Saccharomyces cerevisiae S288C: one gene and its partners. The gene in region 1 interacts genetically with each later gene. Each region holds a gene or a part of one and is shown in the gene's direction. Other genes may lie near its edges.

Region 1 (6,522 bases):
TATCACAGAATAATGACAAAGCTACAAGGACTACAGGGATTAAAACACATCAAAGCGGTTGTATTTGATATGGATGGCACATTATGCCTACCCCAGCCTTGGATGTTTCCAGCAATGAGAAACGCCATAGGATTGGAGGACAAATCGATTGATATCCTTCATTTCATTGATACATTGCCCACAGAAAAAGAAAAAAAAGAAGCGCATGATAGAATAGAATTAGTTGAGGCAAAAGCCATGAAGGAGATGCAACCGCAGCCTGGTCTGGTTGACATAATGAGGTATTTGACGAAAAATGGTATTAGCAAGAACATATGTACTAGAAATGTCGGAGCCCCGGTAGAGACTTTTGTTAAAAGATTTATTCCATCCGAGCTTTCGAGGTTTGACTATATTGTGACAAGGGAGTTTAGGCCTACAAAACCGCAACCAGACCCATTATTACACATCGCCTCGAAGCTAAATATAAGGCCCTTGGAAATGATCATGGTAGGAGATTCATTTGACGACATGAAATCCGGTAGATCTGCTGGATGTTTCACGGTATTACTCAAGAATCATGTGAATGGACATTTACTGCTCGAACATAAAGAACTAGTAGACGTTTCAGTAGAGGATCTTTCCGAAATAATTGAATTGATTCAAAATATGAATAAAGAAAGTTTCTAAAAAAAAAAAAACTTTACTTAGATATGTACATATGATTGAAATACCATTTTATTCTTAGATGTTTTTTAGAGCTAATATAGTAGCTATGGCGGAATTACCTTGATTTTTTCGGCATCACAAAGTTCGAGAACACATCAAATCAGCAAAAAAATCTCCGCGACGGGGAATTGAACCCCGATCTGGCACGCGACAAGCGCCCATTCTGACCATTAAACTATCACGGATTTTAATTGTTGGGTTAACGGTGTTTTTATTAATACTTGTTTCATATGATTTGAAAAAATAAAAAAATGTTGCAGCAAGTGATCATTAATGTCAATATAAATAATGATGGTAGCAAGATGAGTGTTTACGTTAATGTACATTTCATATACTGAGAAATAGGTGAATTTTCGGGATAATCGTTAGGATTTCATTATTGTTAAGGGCTATAATTTAGGTATATCGAATATACGAGAAGTTCTGCACGATGATATAGGGATCCATAAAGGGAACCAATATTTCTACGTACCTGTTACTTCTCCCTCCATTTTATATTTTTCATCATTTTATGACGTTATCAAATCCTTGCATTTCAGTTGCCATTATACTTTACCATTGTTTTTCGATTTTATGTCATCTTCTTACACCGTATGACAATATACCAGTAGTATGAATATCAGTCGATGAGTGAGTTGATTTTTATTCGAACATACACGTTTTAACGTGAATGTACTAAACTGCTAACTGAGCATTTCGGACAGTGCTGAAAATAAGTTAAAGATCTACGCTTTGGTAGTTATGTATACGAGTCATACAATTCGTCACATTAAATGTATAGTATCAAAGACAGTATTATCCACACTTAATCTTCATTAATACTTATCAACAAAAATGAAGCACTCATCTGACTATATTTATATAATATTGCCGACCAAAATCCTTGTGTTTAATTCCAAGTGATTTAGCACCAATCCTATTCCATCCATGCAGGTGCTGTTGCTGCTGGATCCGTGTTTTTGACCAGTCTTAATGAAGCACAACAGCAGCCTACCCTTTTTGTGGACCATATTAATGGATACAATGAGTACTTAGCACGAAGAAAGCGTAGCATTGTAGTTTCATCGTTGCAACTTAGTCCTAGTACGTTCCAGTTCTGCATCGTGACTCACCTTGAGCTCGAAAAATGTGACATATACGTTTTCCGCTGTGGCCGCTGTGGCCGCAGCGTCAAGAATCGCCAATGATAAGTTCTCTGCTCCTGGCGTCGATAGATTCAGAAAAGTGTGAAATTATCGAAGCACGGGTATAGTTAATTGTTAAAGCGTAGATGCTTTGTCGTAGAAACTTTTCTTTAACCTATAGGGAACTCAAATTCTGGAAGGTCAACGTATAATGGAGGACAGTAAAAAGAAAGGATTAATAGAAGGCGCTATACTCGATATAATAAACGGTTCCATTGCAGGCGCCTGTGGTAAGGTGATCGAGTTTCCTTTCGATACTGTGAAAGTCAGGTTGCAAACACAAGCATCCAACGTGTTCCCAACAACATGGTCTTGTATAAAATTTACTTACCAAAATGAAGGAATAGCACGAGGGTTTTTTCAAGGCATTGCTTCACCTTTAGTTGGAGCATGTCTGGAGAACGCGACATTATTTGTGTCTTATAACCAATGTTCTAAATTTTTAGAAAAACATACAAACGTTTCCCCGTTGGGGCAAATCCTGATCTCTGGTGGAGTAGCGGGTTCATGTGCTAGTTTAGTTTTGACACCCGTGGAGCTGGTGAAGTGTAAGTTGCAGGTTGCGAACTTACAAGTTGCATCAGCTAAAACGAAACATACAAAGGTGTTGCCTACAATAAAAGCAATTATAACTGAGAGAGGATTGGCAGGATTGTGGCAAGGGCAATCGGGCACTTTTATTCGAGAAAGCTTCGGTGGTGTTGCCTGGTTTGCAACCTACGAAATAGTTAAGAAGTCGTTGAAAGATAGGCACTCCCTTGATGACCCAAAAAGAGATGAAAGTAAGATATGGGAACTACTTATTAGTGGAGGGAGCGCTGGATTGGCATTCAACGCCAGTATTTTTCCTGCGGATACTGTGAAATCAGTAATGCAAACTGAACATATAAGCCTCACCAATGCGGTGAAGAAGATATTTGGCAAATTTGGACTAAAGGGTTTTTATCGAGGACTGGGTATAACCCTTTTTAGGGCAGTACCAGCAAACGCTGCAGTTTTTTACATCTTTGAGACTCTTTCTGCACTTTAAATACAATAAATCGTGTAATAAGCAAGTATGTAACATTGATAGACAGTCTGTAATACCATTTACTGATCAAGAATGTCGCACAATCTCAACAGCCAGGCTTTGTGTTAGTATTTTGTGTTTTTTACAACAACCTCTCGACTATTGTATACCAGTTTCTTGCATAGATGCTACTATTCTCTGACAGTAAATTATCTAGTCAGGACTTCGGATTTAACTAAATGCAAAAAAAAAAATGATTCGAATGTAAACAAAAAAAACTGTCTAGGTAGCAATGGTTCTTCTATAAAAGTGCAAGCTCTATAAAATCAAGATCAAGCATAGTACCGCCCACTGTTAGAGTCTTTGGTACGCAAACATTTTTGGCTACCGGATGTTGCGAAGAGAACTAAATAACTCTATCAGCAACAGGTCGATAGAAAATGAATCCTTTCCTTTTGAAAGGCCGAATGTCAGCTATATAATATCCGCAGAATTTGATAATAAATTAGGTCCTATTTTGAAGCACCAATACCCGAAAGATATTCCAGGTTTCAATCAGTTCTCACATGAGCAACGCAACGGCAATACGTCGGTGTCTATGAACTTGGCAAGTTTAATGATACCGAGTAGCATAGAGAGAAATCCCGGCAAACAAGATATTACAGTGTTTACCCTTTATTACAATAAGTTTACTCAAAACTATCAACTCTTTCCTGTGCCAAAAGACCCTCGTTTCAGTTTCAATCTGCATCATCGTGAACAGTCAGATGGTAGTGTTACCAATAGCATATATTACGATGCCGAAAATCATCAAGATGCAAAAAATAATAGATACACTATTGTCTTGGAAGATGATGAGCTCGAATGCCAGGAAGTTCAGAATAATCAGAAAGCCATCGACAACGAACCTTTATTTTTCATAAATGTCGCCAACACAGTATTAGACACCACGAACGATAGAGGGGCAGTAATCAAGTCGATTGCCATCGGAACACCATTAAAAACCTTCTTTGCATTCAAAAATATTATTGTATTAGTGTTAGACTTGTATATGAAAGCTCCCACTCAAGCTGCTGCTACAGACATACTGCTTGATTGCTTTAATATGCTAAACAGTATTGACCTTACATTGATTAATGACATACATTCCAAAAGTAGTATACAAGAAGTGCTACACTCTATCCATGACGAATCTATCATTACCAAAGTATTTTTAGACCCGGATTCCACTTTAAAGAAACTCTTTTGCATCAATGGATTTGACACTAAGGACAAGTATGGTAACATTGTGACTTTTCATGACCAACTCATTCAATATCATTTTACAAGATTTCAGCCAAAGACGCTCCCGCCATTTTTGTTAAAAATCCCATTGCAATTTAATATGATTAGAAGAGAGCCTATTTATATTGAAAATGATTATAATGAACTAGTTTTAAAATTTTTGGATAAATTTGTCCCTTACCTTCTTAAAGCCGGACAAAAAGTTAATGCATGGAAGTTAGTCATCAATTCAACTAAACTGAGTAAAGAAGACCTATGCGCTTTTATTTTGTCATTAGCCAACATAACGGCAACTTATGCTAGCGATCCACAATCATACTTCAAAGGAAATGCTGCGTTGATTTTTCCCTATATGGACATTTCTCTTGTTGACGGTTTGCGGGCGTATGTAGCATCGAATAGTGATTTTGTCGGATGCTTTGCAATTATCGGAACTGCCAATCCAATTTTCCGATACCAGTTAGATATCTGGGATTATTACTACGATGTGGATGAGGGAGTGTTTTATGAAAATAATAGTCCAGAAAAAGAAAAGCCAGATACAGTGGCAGAAGTGAAGATTGGGCCTAACCCTTTGAGAAAGATATTCAATAGGCCTCATTTCTCAACCAACGCAGTCAACGAAAGTCAGGTAAACTTGGGCCAGAAGCTCTTTTCTCTTCTTATCGACGAATATCATGATAGTGATACTATCATGAGCGTTTTGAGAAGGCTGAATGTTCTTCAGTTGGAAAACCTTCTGGACGCTTTGAAAAGACGAGAAATTCCACCTAATATAGCACTAAAAGATGAATATATCATGTTTTATAAAGATTTTTTCATTTTCCCGGAGTTCTTTGATTATTTTACACTGCATAGTATTGAACTATTGTCTAACTTGGATAATTGTTTATTTAGCTTAGGAAACACATGCCAGTTATTTTCCACAGAGCAAATATATTCCCAATTAAGCCAAATATTGGACATTGTTAAAGAGCTGTTTCGCATGGTATCGGTAAGCAGGACAAACATTGAGAAGTTTTTAAACGCTTGTTTGAACTATTCTCCGTTCAAAATATTACCCACAGCTCAGTTACACGGTGATAATATTTCTAGGTGGAGTTTTGAAAGCGAAGTGCGTCAGGGTTTCGATAATTTTAACAGCTATATGGGCATCGAAAAAGATCCCCACGGTGTTATAGTATCAGCAATAGATCTTTTTACTCAAATTTACAGTTTTGATATCTTGGCGTTTTTCCTCACATTTATTACAAAAGAAAGTGGGCAGGATTTGCCCTTCACAAAATCTCTGTCCAGGAGAAGAACGTATTTGACCAGAATTGCTCAATCTTCTTCATTGAGACAGTTTTTACAACTGAGTACACGCCCTAATATAAGGATTCTGGGAGGTAATGGGCAGGGTACTGGAAATTCCAATTATCCCGAATTTACAAACGCATCCTCAGTCATCTCACCCAAGCTAAGGGCTTCTCCTCTACTAGAAAGAAGGGCGTCAAAAATCTGCTATGCTATTACGAAATTACTCTATAGGTTAGAATGTCATCCCATAGGTATGGCCCTTTTAAAGAAGTATCTCCACAATCAATTGCGAGAAGCCTATCTAGAATCAAAACGACACTTTATTTCCAAAAAGGGAGATTCGACCAACACTTCCTCTACCATTGCATCATCATCTTTCGCTGGCGCATCTGTTCCTCTATCTTCAAACGAATCAGGAATGCTAAACGGCTTGAAGCAAATTAACGAACAACAAGAATCTACATTAGAAACCACTCAAAAGGAAGACTAGTAACGCCGTATCGTGATTAACGTATTACATAAGTTACAGGATTCATGCTTATGGGTTAGCTATTTCGCCCAATGTGTCCATCTGACATTACTATTTTGCATTTTAATTTAATTAGAACTTGACTAGCGCACTACCAGTATATCATCTCATTTCCGTAAATACCAAATGTATTATATATTGAAAGCTTTTGACCAGGTTATTATAAAAGAAACTTCATGCTCGAAAAAGATCATTTCGAAAAGTTGCCTAGTTTCATGAAATTTTAAAGCAGTTTATATAAATTTTACCTTTTGATGCGGAATTGACTTTTTCTTGAATAATACATAACTTTTCTTAAAAGAATCAAAGACAGATAAAATTTAAGAGATATTAAATATTAGTGAGAAGCCGAGAATTTTGTAACACCAACATAACACTGACATCTTTAACAACTTTTAATTATGATACATTTCTTACGTCATGATTGATTATTACAGCTATGCTGACAAATGACTCTTGTTGCATGGCTACGAACCGGGTAATACTAAGTGATTGACTCTTGCTGACCT
Region 2 (4,520 bases), on another chromosome or scaffold:
ACCAGCCAATATTTGATCAGGTGATAAAATAAAAAAAATAAAAGTTCATGTCAAGGCATATAATGAAATTTCCATACACGCATACATAATGTATAAACATAAATGTATTCAAGAAGCTTAAGAAATAAAAGTAATGAACCTTGAGAATACATCAAGATATAACTCATCACATGTTAAAGAACCCACACACCACACGCGCGAGAACTGGGAGGGAGAGAAATTTAGCAAATAACAAAATTTAGGCCTTGGAAGAAACCATAGCAATGCAATAATCGTTATTAACATAATATCTACATTGAGAACTTCTTGGGCTAGTGGTTTTGCTGCAAACTGGAAAATTGTATCAATCTTTTAACGTTAGCTAAACATCTTCTGCTGTGTTAGCATTAGGAGGAAGCGAAAAGGAAAATACATAATGAAACCGACACAGGATTCACAAGAAAAGGTTTCTATTGAACAGCAGTTAGCTGTAGAATCGATAAGGAAGTTTTTGAACTCGAAAACATCTTATGACGTGTTGCCTGTTTCTTACCGTTTAATTGTCTTGGACACCTCGTTGTTAGTGAAGAAATCACTGAATGTTCTTTTGCAAAATAGCATTGTCTCTGCGCCATTATGGGACTCCAAGACTTCCAGGTTCGCTGGACTTCTAACTACTACAGATTTTATTAATGTCATCCAGTATTACTTCTCCAATCCAGATAAGTTCGAATTAGTAGACAAATTACAGTTAGATGGATTAAAAGATATAGAGCGTGCTCTCGGTGTTGATCAACTAGATACAGCTTCAATTCATCCTTCTAGACCCTTATTTGAGGCGTGTCTTAAGATGTTAGAATCAAGAAGTGGTAGAATACCACTGATCGATCAAGATGAAGAGACACATAGAGAAATTGTCGTTAGTGTTCTTACGCAATATAGAATTCTGAAGTTCGTTGCTTTAAATTGCAGGGAAACACATTTTCTAAAGATTCCAATTGGGGACTTGAACATTATTACGCAAGATAACATGAAAAGCTGTCAAATGACCACTCCGGTCATAGACGTCATTCAGATGCTTACCCAAGGTCGGGTTTCTTCCGTCCCTATTATTGACGAAAACGGCTACTTAATCAACGTATATGAAGCATACGATGTCCTAGGCTTGATAAAAGGAGGCATCTACAACGACCTGTCATTGAGCGTCGGAGAAGCCCTTATGAGGAGAAGTGATGATTTTGAGGGTGTTTATACATGCACTAAGAATGATAAATTATCTACTATTATGGATAACATCAGAAAAGCAAGGGTGCATAGATTCTTTGTAGTTGATGACGTCGGACGGTTGGTTGGTGTCTTGACGTTAAGCGATATTCTCAAATATATCCTTCTAGGTAGCAACTGAAACGAGCCGATGAGATTTTTGTGTACATACTATAAATAAATGCAACTAATAAAGTCATGATTAATCAGTCATGCATACTTCATCTGACCAATATATTTTCATCTTGCTTATTTTGGGTATAATTCGGCGGAAATTCGGTTATAAAGCGAAGTGAAAAATCGATTAGTAATGATACTGATGCGATCTCTGGGAGGGGGGAATGCTGCATATAAGGGTGAAGGAAGATAATGCAAAGCCTTTTGTAGTATTGTCTGTTGATACCAAAATAAATTAGTTCATCAAAAAGGTACAGGCAGCTAAAGAAAAGCTGTAAATTTAACGCCGTAGAAGGTATTTTTCGTGAGATCTATCTCAAGGCATCATTTTTTTTATTTTCGCACCAAGATAGGAAGAAAAAGAGTCACAGTATAGAGGACTAACCGTTAAAGATTCTAAATCGGTACTGTAAATACTTTGAAATGCCTCAATCTACTCCAAGTCAAGAAGTACAGCGTGTACCATGGGATAATAAACCTGCTTTGAAGCAGATAACACTCCGAGCAACCATAGCAGGTATCGCTATAGGGTCTCTGGTGCTAACATCAAATTTTCAATTTGGCCTGCAAACCGGTTGGGTTTCCATGATGTCCCTGCCATCGGCATTGTTAGCTTGTGCTTTCTTTAAAAATATCTGGCCATTAATATTTCCGAACGACAGGCCTTTCAGTGACGTTGAAAATGTATACGTACAAAGTATGGCAGTAGCTGTCGGAACAGGCCCATTAGCCTTTGGGTTTGTCGGCGTCATACCTGCCATCGAGAAGTTCCTTACTAACGACGAAAGTGGTGGATTAAGGGAACAAGGACAGTCCTTCACTTTTAGAGAATTGTTAATATGGTCCACAGCCCTAGCATTCTTCGGTATTTTTTTTGCAGTTCCTCTAAGAAAGCAAGTAATTGTTAGAGAGAAACTTCCCTTCCCCAGTGGTAGCGCCACGGCCACTTTAATTTCAGTGCTAAATGGAACTGAGATTTTACAAGAGGTTTCTAAGTCAGAGTTATTGGAAATGAGGCAGAGGAGATTGAATGAATGCCCTGAAGTGCTACAACCCAACAGAGATCCAGAGGAGGCGGATTATTTAATGAACTCTTCTCATAGCGAACTTGGTGATTATACGGCAACTAGCCAAGATGGAAGTTCTATCCTTTCTACTGGCTCTGAGAACTACAGAGCGAATATTATTATTTTATTGAAAACTTTTGTTGTTTCTTCGCTTTACACCATGGTGTCATATTTTGTACCGGTAATACGGTCTATTCCAGTCTTCGGAAAATACCTCTCGAACAATTATCTCTGGAATTTTCAGCCGTCGCCTGCGTATATAGGCCAAGGGATAATAATGGGTCTTCCAACAGTATCGTATATGCTTATCGGGTGCTTCTTAGGCTGGGGTGTGTTAGCACCATTGGCGAGATACAAAAGATGGGTACCACCAGATGCTGATGTCCACGACTGGGAGGAGGGAGTGCAAGGATGGATTCTTTGGTCGTCGCTTTCAATAATGGTTGCTGACAGTGTAGTCGCTTTTATTGTTGTGACAGTGAAGTCCATTGTGAAATTTATTCTTATAGATGACAAAGCTGCTTTACTGAACAACATAATCGATGATACATTTCAATCTATGTTACTGGAGGAGGAACGCGCCATTAATAGCAGCAGAAGAAATACATATGTTGATGGAAGGCAGGACACCGTAAGATTAGTGAGTAGAGATAACGAAATAGAAGTAGATTCGAAGCATTTGGTTCGCTATACCACCGTTATCAGTGGATGTCTAGTCTCCTCGATAATATGCATTGTTTCCATAATATATTTGTTTGGGATACAAGTAATTCCCCTATATGCTATTATCACTGCTTTGATACTTGCGTTGTTTCTATCTATTCTCGGTATTCGAGCACTTGGAGAGACCGATCTGAATCCTGTGAGCGGCATTGGTAAGATCTCTCAATTGATTTTTGCCTTTATCATACCAAGGGATAGACCTGGATCAGTGTTAATGAACGTGGTATCGGGAGGTATTGCAGAAGCCTCTGCCCAACAGGCGGGCGATTTAATGCAGGATTTGAAAACGGGGCACCTCCTCGGCGCCTCCCCAAGAGCTCAGTTCTGTGCCCAATTGATAGGGGCCTGTTGGTCAATTATTTTGTCTAGCTTCATGTATTTGTGCTACAATAAAGTTTATTCAATTCCGAGTGAGCAATTCAGGATACCGACAGCAGTAGTGTGGATAGATTGTGCAAGACTAGTAACTGGTAAAGGGCTCCCTGATAAGGCCTTGGAGTGCTCCATGATTCTCGGAGTCATATTTGCCGTTTTATCATTAATCAGAAACACTTATAGAGATTACGGATACGGGTGGATATTATATATTCCGTCTGGTGTAGCAGTCGGTGTTGGTATATTTAATTCTCCCAGTTTTACAATTGCAAGATTCATCGGCGGGTGGGCTTCGCATTTTTGGTTGAAGAATCATAGGGGTGACTTAAATGCGAAAACAAAAATGATTGTATTCAGTTCGGGGTTGGTCTTAGGTGAAGGTATCTTTAGCGTAATAAACATGCTCTTCATCTGCTTAAATGTCCCTCACTATTAGGTATATAATATTTTACTAATAAAGAATTTACAAAGTTTACAAATTTTAAATTATTTACTCATCACATAATTCGATGTCTTAGATTTCCCTGTATATATATTTCTAGGTGACAAAAATCCTAGGCAAAATGTTATATTATACGCGACCTTGAAATATCGGCTATCTTGGTGTACAACATGGTCCATTTAAGAAAAATAAAAAAAAGTGATGGGCACTGTTAAAACAGGCAGAAGCCTCATTCATAACTGCTGAAGGGTTAAGATCGTATAGGTAGGAACGATCTGACCTCTCATAATGGAAACATGGGAAGTCATAGCATCGGTAAAAGAAGCAACAAAAGGCCTTGACTTGAGCTTAGATCATCCACTTATTATTAAATCCGAGGACGTGCCCAGTAACATTCTCCAATTACTGCAACAGAAGAATCGACGTCAATTGAAACACATCTGCATGAAATCAAGAAAAGAGTATTTTCTACTAGAGGAATATGGGCCAGGATT
Region 3 (3,233 bases), on another chromosome or scaffold:
ACCCATTATACTTTTTCAGCTTTCAACCTATCGGGACAAAAAGACAATGTAACGTTCAACATGTAATAATAAAATCGTTAACGACGATAATGAGCGCAGTTCTTTTAAAATAATGTGTTTTTTTTTTTTACATTTTCCTTTGTCGAATATATAAAGTTTCTTCTTCTGTATGTAAAAGTATTTTTATTTTATGTTATTGAATTTGTTTTTTTGTTATTTATGTATACGCGACTATCTATCAGTTTGGTACCTCGAACACCAGAGATACACCTTCATCACCTGCAGTTATTACTTTTCTCTTCTGCTCGGTGCCGGTATTTGCCACAGGATGCAGTAATATAAAATCAAGAACCCCCATATTATGGCCCACACAAACAAACTTCTCTTGGCCAGTTCTTGCATTAAACTGGTAAACCTTACCATTGATACACGATGCGAATAAGTCATCATTATCAAACATAAGTTTTGTAACAGAATCTTCGAGAACAAACTTGTGTCTTACTCTCCATGCACTTGTATCATATAAGAGTATTTCACCGCAGACAAGGCCAATGGCCATAAGGGAGAATTTGGATGACCAAGAAATGGATTCAATGGAGGCATCTAATTCGTCTTGTTCTGGCTTTAGTTCAATCACTGTAGATAAATGTAAAATCGCACCGCCATTGTTACAATTAATTACTGCCAGAAGACCATTGTTGGACCCACATGCCACGACACCCGAGTTACCCTTGGTCAAAGTTTCCGGAGCTAATGATAGGGAAATCCATGGAGCTTCTAATCCCTTGATTTCTGCCTGTGTGATCTTAAATAATTGTTGGCCAGTGAAGCAATTCCATGCCACAATAGTGCTATCCAAAGAACAAGTGACTAATTCCAGCGTATTTTCACCCTTGTCGGTGTTAATGAATTCACCCATAGAGCAATCTTGCTGGTGTACAAAACCAGACATTAACTGTTCCAAAGAACCATCCTGCTCATTAATCTGGTAGCACCAAACAGATCCATCAGTTGCACCAAACGCAAACGTCCTTGCTATAGTGGGATGAGTTTTCAGCCAAACAATCTCTTCGACTTCTTGCATTTGCGATGCCAACTTCCACTGAGCGCCACCTTTTTGACCCATGTGTACAAGAACCTTCCCCGACATATCGGCAGTGACCAAGAAGCCCCCTTCAGAAGTGAAAGAACATGAAATCACAGATTCGCCATAACCGGTTAGAGTGCCAGCAAACTTGGGTGGCTGTGAATGTGATGTCCAAAGATGTGCCAAGTTATCACCCCCACCGGTACATACTAGCGGCAGGTTAGGATGATGGCCAATGGCAAACACGGAGTCTGTGTGCTTATCGAAATAGGTAAGCGAGTTGTTGGACATGTCGACCTCCAAAGCTTCCTCATCATCATTCATCATTTCATCATCGTCGTCATTCTCTCCTTCAATATCAACGGGAACGTCTTGTTCGACCTCCACAGTGGGCACAATCTCCTGCTCAACTTCTTCGGTAGTTATAAACTCTTCTTGAGGTTCCATTACGCTTAATGTGTCGCTATTTGGTGCTGTTTTGGTCTTCAAAAGGCCTCATCTAAAGCCCATCGAATGTATCTCTTTAGTTATTCATAGTGAAAATTTTGCCAGAAAAAGAAACGGCGGGCGGGTGATAATGCGGCGAGTGGGAATTTCTTACTTAAAAATATACTTAACCAAGTATTCTCACTTAGTGTGTTCGAAGGTACCTGGCAAAAGCAACAAACACAGGACAGTATAGCATTATGATGGGGTTTGAATGGGGTTTTAAACCCAGCAGTAAAATAACACAGAGTACAGTCAGTTCACAAGGCACAGGCAATGTAATGATTCCAACTGCTGGAGTGAAACAAAAAAGGCGGTATGCCAACGAGGAGCAAGAAGAGGAAGAACTACCTCGTAACAAGAATGTGATGAAATATGGGGGCGTCTCCAAGAGGAGGCCTCAGCCAGGATCGCTCATCAGAGGGCAGCCTCTGCCCTTGCAACGAGGCATGGAACTAATGAACAAGAACCAATTACAGCAGTTGTTGGTGGATTTGATGACAAAACATCCAGAAATACAACAAAGCGTACATACGAGAGTCATCGGATTAGACTTCAGTATACAAAAGTGTCTGGACATGTTGAAACAAAAATCAGAAGCCGTTTACCAGAGCATACCTTACAATAGGTCTTATGAGAGTAATAAATTAGATGACTATGCTTTCGTGAGAATGAAACCTCAAATTCTGGAGTTCTTAAACTGTTTGGTGGATTTCATACTGGATAACATTCCACCACGTTTGGAAAATTTGCACGCATCATTAAAATTCTTAGACATTTGCACGGAATTAGTTATCAAATTGCCCAGATTTGAATTAGCTAGTAATAATTACTACTACGATAAATGCATTGAACAATTGTCTCACGTATGGTGTACGCTTATTGAACATGTTGCCCGTGACAGGATAATTTTATTAGCAGATAATAGCTCCGTCTGGAAAAGTCATATGACAAGATTACAGGTATACAATGAACATTCAAATGGGTTATTGGAACGCCCACTCCAGCTGTTCAAATCTTTAGATATGGGTAGCCCTTCAGCAGCATCGTCATCAACATTATCACTTCAAGAAAGTATTATTTACCACCACGATACCATGACAGCAAACGAAAACAATAACAATAGTGGTAGCGCTGCTACTGATTCGCCCTTTAACTAAGGATAGAATGGTTCTTTTGCTTTTTCAAATACATTAATATGTATATATATGTATATATAAATGTATGACTGTGTAATGTTACATATGCAGAAGTATCCGATTTTTTTTTGATTTTTTCTTTTATTTCATAAATCCAGTTTTTTACTGAAAGATAAACTTAATCCCTTCAACAGCTGTTGAGGATTAATCACTTGTGAGTGGTCATCGTCCGTTTCGCTTGAGATCTTTCTCATTGTTTCTATGTTCAATTTATTCACTTTTGAATTTGTTATTTCGTTTAAGGCTAGTGAGTGCGAGTTTAATATATGCGACTGGTACCTTAGCTCATCGACTTTTGTTTCTAACTTTGTCTCAACATCTGCAATCGCAAGGTCTGGCTCTTCTGTATCCGACAACGGTTCCAGTGGTTGTGATGAGAATGAAGTCAATTCTTGCCATTCAAGATCTGGTCTCGAAGTGTCTAAAGTGACTGCCCATTCTTTCACTTCATTTTTGATCGC

What was found. A genetic interaction does not mean that the proteins touch.
Region 2: mutations in AFI1 (region 1) and YGL114W together harm fitness more than expected from each alone (negative genetic interaction), as found in Saccharomyces cerevisiae (one large-scale study listed by BioGRID).
Region 3: mutations in AFI1 (region 1) and STS1 together harm fitness more than expected from each alone (negative genetic interaction), as found in Saccharomyces cerevisiae (one large-scale study listed by BioGRID).

What each region holds. Positions count from the first base shown.
Region 1 is NC_001147.6:566,329-572,850, reverse strand, and holds AFI1 (Afi1p), read left to right. Parts: upstream 1-3,292; coding exon 3,293-5,974; downstream 5,975-6,522. Other genes in the region: YOR131C (putative haloacid dehalogenase-like hydrolase), read left to right, coding at 13-669; ORT1 (Ort1p), read left to right, coding at 2,044-2,922. UniProt on the Saccharomyces cerevisiae protein: Involved in actin patch polarization. Required for maintaining a proper budding pattern in yeast cells. Required for proper polarized localization of the ADP-ribosylation factor ARF3 at the plasma membrane.
Region 2 is NC_001139.9:291,618-296,137, forward strand, and holds YGL114W (uncharacterized protein), read left to right. Parts: upstream 1-1,842; coding exon 1,843-4,020; downstream 4,021-4,520. Other genes in the region: ubiquitin-protein transferase activating protein CDC20, read left to right, coding at 1-24; AMP-activated serine/threonine-protein kinase regulatory subunit SNF4, read left to right, coding at 416-1,384; SLD3 (Sld3p), read left to right, coding at 4,315-4,520.
Region 3 is NC_001141.2:376,787-380,019, reverse strand, and holds STS1 (Sts1p), read left to right. Parts: upstream 1-1,773; coding exon 1,774-2,733; downstream 2,734-3,233. Other genes in the region: GAT4 (Gat4p), read left to right, coding at 1-1; SQT1 (Sqt1p), read right to left, coding at 239-1,534; MIND complex subunit DSN1, read right to left, coding at 2,859-3,233. UniProt on the Saccharomyces cerevisiae protein: Involved in ubiquitin-mediated protein degradation. Regulatory factor in the ubiquitin/proteasome pathway that controls the turnover of proteasome substrates. Targets proteasomes to the nucleus and facilitates the degradation of nuclear proteins.